Drosophila melanogaster: one gene and its partner. The protein of the gene in region 2 purifies or fractionates together with the protein of the main gene of each other region. This does not show direct contact. Each region holds a gene or a part of one and is shown on either strand. Other genes may lie near its edges. The genes, in order: wcd and Fib.

The links.
Region 1: the proteins of Fib (region 2) and wcd purify together in Drosophila melanogaster (affinity purification with western blotting; one study listed by BioGRID). This does not show direct contact.

The regions. Positions count from the first base shown.
Region 1 is NT_033778.4:16,345,167-16,349,386, forward strand, and holds wcd (wicked), read right to left. Parts: upstream 2,335-4,220; 5' UTR 2,230-2,334; coding exon 709-2,229; 3' UTR 672-708; downstream 1-671. Other genes in the region: Nup62 (nucleoporin 62kD), read left to right, coding at 1-599; CG15710 (uncharacterized protein), read right to left, coding at 2,503-3,300. UniProt on the Drosophila melanogaster protein: Component of a nucleolar small nuclear ribonucleoprotein particle (snoRNP) thought to participate in the processing and modification of pre-ribosomal RNA.
Region 2 is NT_033778.4:23,072,097-23,076,653, forward strand, and holds Fib (fibrillarin), read right to left. Parts: upstream 2,630-4,557; 5' UTR 2,499-2,629; coding exon 2,486-2,498; intron 2,368-2,485; coding exon 1,928-2,367; intron 1,873-1,927; exon of another isoform or gene 1,733-1,872; intron 1,547-1,732; coding exon 965-1,546; 3' UTR 813-964; downstream 1-812. Other genes in the region: CG3085 (uncharacterized protein), read left to right, coding at 3,159-3,370, 3,435-3,866, 3,924-4,557. UniProt on the Drosophila melanogaster protein: S-adenosyl-L-methionine-dependent methyltransferase that has the ability to methylate both RNAs and proteins. Involved in pre-rRNA processing.

The DNA of each region.
Region 1 (4,220 bases), 6.7 Mb from region 2:
CCAAGACCACAGACTCATCGGCCGTTTCCACGGCATCCCAATTGTCCTACCACCAACTTGAGGAGCATATCAACAAGTGGACTCTCGAGTTCGAGGAACAGGAAAAGGTATTCACCGAACAGGCCACTCAGATCAACGCATGGGACAAACTGCTCATCAGCAACAACGGGAAGATCGTCGAGCTCAACGATGCCGTGAAAAAAGTGAAAACCGATCAGCAAGTGCTGGACCAGGAGCTGGAGTTTATAGCCACGCAGCAAAAAGAGCTTGAGGACAGCCTGGGACCGCTTGAGAAGGAATTCGTTAATCTCCCGAGGGTGGACATGGAACGCAGCCAAACCTACCTGATGGTGGAGAATCTGGACACACAACTGAAGCAGATGTCCGAGGATCTAAAGGAGATAATAGACAACTTGAACGAGGCCAACAAGGGCCAGGACACCACTGATCCCATCATACAGATCGGAAAAATCCTTAATGCCCATATGAATTCGTTGCAGTGGATCGAATCGCAGTCGACGAACATCAGCAAGAAGCTGGAAGACATTGGCAAGATTCAAGACTCCCAGAAACGCGATATTTTCCGAGCTCCTTTCTAAAGATAAGTCCCCTTAATTTGTTAACTTAAATAAAGATGGTTCCATTGTAACCACAGAAAGAGTAATGATTTTATTTAAGAATTTATTGTAAACATCATACTGCCTTCAATTAATAACCCTTGAAGTACTTAAGCCTAAAGAGCGGCACCTGTTTGCCCTTAGTGGCAAAGGCCAGGAAGCTGCTGTGCGGCGAAAAGGCCATGGAGGTCACAAAGCCAACCTTCTCGTTCTGTGCCGGGAAATTGGAGTACACAGTGGCGCTGGGGAAATGGGCCAGCTTAAAAGCATTCGGCGCCTCACTGGAGCACATCGCCAGTAGCTCAGATGAGTGATTGAACTGGAGATCCGTGATGGCAGTCCGTAGGTTCATGAAGCGCTTCTCGGGTTGTGGGGCCTTGGATGCGAAAATGCTCTCGTAGTCGTAGATGTTGACCACGCCCTCTTGACTGCCGGTGGCCAGTAGGCGTTGGTTGGGAGACAGTTGAATGGACTCTCCATGTATACAGCCGTCGTCCATGAAGATGTGCTCGATGAGGTTCTGGCGCAGGTTCAGCACGCTGACATTGGAAGTGGAACCGCAGACGAGGATCCTCTTGGAGTCACTAGACCATGTGAATCCCTTCACTTTGCCCTCCTGCTTGAAGCTGTGCAGCAGCTCATTTGTTTTGGCCGTGAGCAGGTGAATGGCTCCAAACTTGCCAGCAGTGACGATAAATTTGCCACATGGAGACACCTCAAAGCGGTGCATAAATTCCATTGCGCCCGGCAGCTTTAGCTTCGATTCCTTGGCTTCCAGCAAGTCGTAGGAGTAGTAGAATGGTTTCACAGAACCAAAGAACGCCCTTGTGCCGCATGGAGCAATTCTGGAGCACGCCAGCGGGAACTTCTTGAAGCGCATGTTGTGCAACCTTTCGTTCTTTTGCCCATCCACGGCGTAGATGGTGGCTAGGCCATTCATGCCCGCCACTAGAGCAGCAGTACTGGTTGGATGAAACTGAATGCTGGTGGCATTACCCTCGGCATATGTGGCCCTGTTCAGGTCTTTGACCCGTTTAAAATTCAGAGTCTTCTGGGGCAGATCACTGTTCCGGGCTTTACGATCGATAAAGCCAACCGTCCGCAGCAGTTCTTCGTCGGAGGATACGTCCTCGTCGTCCTCATTTTTGACCTTCTTTTCCGCCCACTTGGGTTGGTTAAGCGTGCGCTGGAATCGCGCCGTAAGATACTCCTTGTACGATTTATCCTTGCGCAGGTGGTTCAGTGGACCCGTGTGCTTTGTGGCCTTCTTGACATCGCCCACCTGCAGGTCCTCGTCATCGGAATCCGACCAGGCGGCTTTCCGCTTGTCGCCTGGCTTTGCCTGGCCGGGATTTTCCTCCTGCTCGTCTTCGTCATCGTTCGGCAACTTTTGTCCCACGGACTTGGCTAGATTGGTGAGCAGTCGCTGCCTGTCGCCGAAGAGCACCTTTTCCATGGGCACCTCCACATAGTTGAGCTCCTTGGCCTGCGAGGCCTTTGGAATATAACGTTCCCTTTTGATCTTTGCCGGTTTCTCTTGCTCCTGCTGGCCGTAGAGGGCCTTCAGACTCTGCAGCTCCTCCAAACCGTCGCTGGACTCGTCTGAACTCATCGTGTTCGCTGGAAATGCACGCAAATTCGTTTATTTACGAACTTTTCTTTGGACCGCAAAAAAATATACACGTGCAGCTGGGCGGGAAATCGACTAACGCTTTAAATCAAAAATACCACGCCACGGTGGATTTATCGATAAGTGTGACCACATCGATAGCAGATCGAAATAGATATCGGTGGGATGGGCGCCATAATTTGAAAATTATAAAAAATATTACAATTAAAAAATATATTTATTTAATTTAAAATTAAAATGTGCGAATTTGTATAATCAATTATTAAAACTTTGCACAACTTCTGTAAATGTTACCTCGCTGACCTCGGTGATTTCAATCTCACGCTTTCTTTTGCATTTATCCGGCATCTGGCAAGTTTTCAGATGACGGTGAAGGAAACCCTCATATTTGTACTTTTTCCCACAACGATCACAGATTAATTCGGGCCTTCTCTTCCCTAAGATCTTTTTCTCCTCCTCCTGGGCCTTCAGCCTTACGATACATGCGTCGCACGCGTATCGACGGGTCACTTGGCCAGGCTTAAAGCAGGCCTTGAACTCCGTGCGACAAAAGACGCAATTGAAGGTCTTGGTGATGGTGTACGCCCCTTCGTAGGATTCATCCGTGGACTCGCACGGTATCAGATGGCTCTCCAAATGGGTGCGATACTCCAGATCCGTCCCGAACTTGACATGGCAGGATGCACAGGTGCGATTCATTGATGGGCTTCCATGCAGGAGCCTGTGGCCGATCAGGGCATCCACCGAGGAGAAGATTTTCTTGCAAATGTTGCACTGATGCTGGGACACGTCCGGCACATCCTTCATCATGCGTGCCAAGCGTCTTTGGCAGGCCATCAGATGGACCTTGTAGGCACCGGCCGTGCGAATCACATTAGAGCAAAGCGGACAGTGGAAGCGTTGCGTGTTGTCCTCCAGGAAAACTTTCTCCTCTTTTATCGGCTGCAAACAGGGCGCCACGTACACCTTGGTAACAATACCATTATCCTCCTGAATCGACAGTAGAGTAGCTGGTTCCAGCTCCTCGGAAATCCAGTTGCCAGCACTTGTCATAATCCTTTGTGGGCTCTTGTGTTTCGCCAGTAAGAAGCGTACGAAGAAAGTGAGAAAGTCGCCGGTCATTGTCATTGAAAGATAGAAAGTAATACTCGATACTCGATACTCGGAAACTGTCAGGGCTGGAAAAGAAAGAAAGCGTATACGCGATAGGTATGCCTCAAAAATGTAAACTTTTTAAATTTGTCCAGGCAATGAAATTCGAATCCAACGCTTTCCTCCAAAAAAAAATTAAACGTTTTATTCGGATTACCATAAATGAGGTGGTAATATATTTAGCCATCATTTAGTTTAACCAATTAAGCAAACAATCTTCATGCATTTTTACTGTCTAAAGCAGAAGTATACATACTATATATATTCGGTTTAATTTCGTTTTTAAATGAAGTAGGTCAGCTTCACAGTTTCGAACGCAGCAAATAAATTATGTTTTATGAACCATATTAAAGGCTTCTCCATGATTTCGTCTGTGTTAGGAATTATTTTTAAAATATCATCTTAGAGACTTAAATATAAATTTAATTTAAATTAATTTCTAAGGAAGATAGCTATAGTTCAATGGCAAGCCTGGGCAGAATAAGATCTATACTCGTAAAACTGATTGTTTAGTTTGGTCTTTGAACTGTAAAATGCAGGAACATGTCTTTCGAGTGCCTCTAATCCCCGCCCAACTTCTGGCATTGTGGTAAGCTCCGGATCCCTGCTTTATGACACGCGTAATGCGAGTCAAAATATGCAATTAAACAAAAACTTCTTGACTGGAAAAATATTTGCATAACTTGGGCAAACAAATGTCGGAGCACGTCGTCCTCGTCACCAGTCGACAATGTCGAGTTGTTGTTGAACTTGTCATTACACACGCACAACCAGGAGAGCACCAGTCTCATCCACCCACTAACCACCCAACCACCCACTAA
Region 2 (4,557 bases):
CAGCCTTATTGAAGTCCGCTCCATTTGTCACTGATATCTCTCCCTGCATAATTCTATGCTGATAAGCATCTGAATTTCTGCAAAGCGATGACAGTAAATCACTAGATATTTGAATGCAGAAATATGCAGTTCAATTTCTTCAATACCACAAGTTTTAGTTTAATTGATAGCTGCTCTTCATGACATGTGCTCATACTTCTATATGTAAACTATTAGCTTAAGTGAGAGCGAACTAAAAAATAATGTATTGCTACATTATTTTATTTATTTATGTATTAAGCTAATAATCTTTATGGATTCATTAGCCCCACGTGAACGAAACTCCAATTTTCATTAAGAATGGCTTAAGCCGAGACACCACCCCGTGAATAGTTCTTGGTTCGTGTCTGTATAAATGGTGCGTCATACCTGGCGAAGATAGGTGAGGGGGGTGCTGAAATCTATGCTTCATACCAAATAGGAACTTTGCCACCGGGGCGACACAGTTGCGGTGTCCGAGTGGTTAAGGAGATGGACTTGAAATCCATTGGGTTCTACCCGCGCAGGTTCGAATCCTGTCCGCAGCGCAGAACTTTTTTTATTTTTTATTTATTGTGAATTTGCAGAGGGTACTAATAGCTGACCTTAATATTTCTTTGACATTTCATTGTTAAGCATTATACTTTCTGTGATGAAGATGAAAACAAACTAGTGTATACCAGCCTTGCCCAACCATTTTCCGCAATACCCCTCAGAAAAACCACGTTTGTACAAAGATTGACTTTAAAGATCTTCATCTTTCATAGGAACTCCATATTGTTACACTGGCATTTGGTTTTTGTGTATATTTTGTACGTCTGCTACAAAAATAATGTGCATTTTGATTTATCTTTATAACTACGGTTTTATATTTAAAAGAAACTTAATACAACTCGTCTGTATTAGTACAATAGCCTTAAAACTAAACCCAGCAGAAAACGACTTCTTACTGCTTGGGCGGTGGTCGGTAGACGCCAACGACAACGGCGTGGTCTCGCTCGTAGGGCTCCAGCGTGAGCTGCTCTTGGGGCTTCAGCTTGTCCGCCTGCATCTTCTTCACCTCGGCAGCGAATACCGCTTCGGGCTGCGCCGTCGAGTCGATGCAGGAGGCCTTGATCGAGATGACAAAGTGTCCGCCGTTCTTCAGGAAGTGCTGGGCATTCAGCGCCACAATGCGGCCCTGATCCGGCTGGGCAACGTCGGCGAAGATGGTGTCCACCATGCCCACCAGCATGCGGTACTTGTGTGGATGGCGAGCGTCCTCGATGATGGGTATGATGTTGGTGCGCTTCTTGGCCACGTTGATCAGATCGCGACCGGATCGGTGTGAGAACTCCACGGCGTAGACCAGGCCCTCGGGTCCCACCACATCGGACACATGCGAGACTGTCGTTCCGGAGGCGGCGCCCAGGTAGAGAACCTTCGAGCCCGGCGGCATGTGAATCTGCTCGACGCCACCCAGAACGGCGGCAGCCAGCTTGGAGCGGAAGGGATTCCACACGCGGTACTCAATCTTCTCGCCATTGGTCTGCAAAGAAGAACAGATTTAAATCCATTGCTCTTTCTTAAAAATTATAGCAGAAAGCAAGAAGTAAGTAAGTTGAGTGAAATACAGAGTTGTTTGGATTGTTCAGGTAGCTTCAAATCACTTTTCAAGATGGTGGACTTGTTTGGGTTCTGTTTGTTTTGGGATAGAAGGGTAGATAGATAGGAATTCGCCTCAGTTGTGCATTATTCTAAGCAGCCCTTGGAGCTCCGCGACTGCTTCACGTGCACCTGAAGTGCACACAGCCACAGGTGACCGCCAAGGATGCTCATGGCCACATGATGCCATGTTCTGTACCCCTGCACAACCTCATCATAAGCTAGGAATAGGGAAGGTAAGTGAATAAAGATGAGAACAACAAACCTCAACGGAGATGCGCTTCTCGCCGTAGACTTCGGATCCAGGTACAAAGTTCCTGGTGACCAGAGCGTCCTCCTTGCCGCGCGCAATGAACACTCCCTCGTGACGATGCGGCTCGATGGTGACGGTCTTGCCGCCCTTGAAGCCGCCAGCACCACCACCACGTCCTCCTCCGCCGCGACCACCGCCTCCACGGCCGCCGCCACCGCGACCACCGCCGCCGCCACGTCCTCCGAAGGCACCACGGCCGCCGCCGCCACCACCACCGCGACCACCTCCTCCACGGCCACCACCGAATCCTCCACGGCCACCGCGATCGCCGCCGCCACCGCGTCCACGGCCGCCTCCAAATCCACCGCCTCCTCCGCCGCCGCCGCCACCACGCCCACGGAATCCACCTCCTCCTCCTCCGCCGCCGCCGCCACCACCGCGTGGACTGAATCCTGCAATAGAAAAGATCCGCATTTGAATTTCGGTTGACTCAGAGGTTAAGTTGGAGACTATCAAAAGCAAAGGCGACGCCTGCTTCGATTTGTATCGTTAGAGCGTGATTTTACGCACCTGGTTTGCCCATTTTATGTTGCTGTACTTGCACTTTTTAATACAACTTTCGACGAAATGTGATTGAGTCCGTCAACACGCGGCAACCAAAACGCTTGAAAAGAAAAACACGTGTGTGCCGGAGTGTGGCCGCAGCAGTGATTTTAGTGATAATATACAGAAGTACAAAGGCGAAAATACCAAGAGAATGATGTTAGTGTGTGTGTTAGGTGGGAAACTTGGCTGGGACTGTAGCTAAGTTCAACACCAGGCGGAGAGGCAATTGTGCATAGTGGTACAAAGGTTGAAAAACTGTACATTTTATTCTTGGATATCTTGCAAATAATGTAATTCTTTTTTTTTTGTATTCAATTCAAAAATTGATTGATCAATTAAATTATTGATTGATTTATTAAATTAATTTAATTTTTATGAGCCACTACATTATTATATTTTACTTATTTGATGCATGTAACTATGGAAGTATATGATTAATAATTACAATCCCGTAGTCCTTGACAATGACCCCAGTGCCTTGGAGATCTAGTGTTCGTTGACCAAACAAACAGCCACTTGAAATCGATGTTTGAGAAAAACGTTCCATTCCGCTTTGAGAGTTCTAGTTGGGAGCACACACTTTCTGAAATTGTTAACGCATAAATCCTGCTGTTTTACCTAAACTTTTGCAAACATAATGGCCTTCCGCTCGGTGGTTACGATGGAGAAGCCGCTCCAGCACATTTCGCTGACGGACTGGTATGCCCGTGTGAACCAGATGCGGAATGTGGCGGATGCCCGGAGGTCGGACGCCTTCGCCATCCGCCACTCATCCCGATCCTTGAGGAACGAGACGCGGATCGAGGGCGACTGGGCCAACTACGAGACAAATGAGGCTCTGACCGATCGGTGAGTGTCCATATCTTATATTAAGATTAACAGCACGATTAATAATCTGTAATTTATACATCAGCATCTCCGAGTTGAATCGCTGGCGGGATATCATTTCCAAGTCCTTCGAGAAGATCGAGCGCGAGATATTCATGCTGCAGGAGGAGAAGAATGCCACGGAACGGGAGCTGGAGGCGTTGGCAGGTCCGATTTCCGTGATAGCCGAGTGCCTGACCATAAGGGACGGTCGCCTCGGATCGGAGATCACCTACGATGAGGCCGACACCGAGATCAAGAACGAACTGGTCGTGCTGGAGAACAACCAGCGCCTGCTGGCCGATCGATGCCAGAAGGCGTGGGAGAAGCTCAATCGTCTGGAGGAAGTGCGCTTCAAGATCGGCCTGGAGATCGAGTTCAAGGTGGAGGCGGTGCAGCTGGACAACTCACAGCTGGCGCTCGATCGCAACTCGGCCAATATCTCATACAAGCCGGATCCCACGAGAAATCCCAAGAAGTAAGTCACACATGGAATGTCCCAGTAGCTCAGTAGGATAACTAACCAATCACTTAGCTCCTGTTCCTACGAGTCCTGGCTGGAGAACGTGAAGAACATAAAGCTGCTGGCGGAGAATGAGCTGGCCGACACGTACGCCATTCGGGAGGCTTTGTTCGTGTGCCGCGAAAAGGCGCGCAACATGCTGCAGTCGCAGCAGGAGCGGGCGGAGCACACCATCCGCAAACGGATCTTCGAGACGCAGCGGGCCAGAAACGAACTGGAGTGGCAGCAGCTCAAGATGAAGGAGGAGATGGAGAAGGCCATGTGCGAGATCCGCACCTCGGAGAATGCGCTGCGTGACAAGACGGATGCACTGAAGCTGGCCGAGACACGCCTGGAGAATCGTGCCCAGAGGTCGGGCATGGAACTGTGCATGGACCAGGCGCACGACATGCTCTGCTTGGAGGTGGAGAAGCTGCGAGAGATACGACGCCGACTGCAGGTCAAGATCGACGAGAGCAAGACCAACTTTAGTCTGCTGGAGGAGCACGGCAAGCGAATCGACGTGGATCTGGAGAACAAGCAGCACTCGCTGATGACGGACATCAGGGCCCTGGACTTGCGCATGCGTCTCCGGGGCGGCGAGTTCGGCTCCAAGGTGGCCAACGCCTCGCAGACGGACAGGAACATAACGCTCACTCGCATGGAG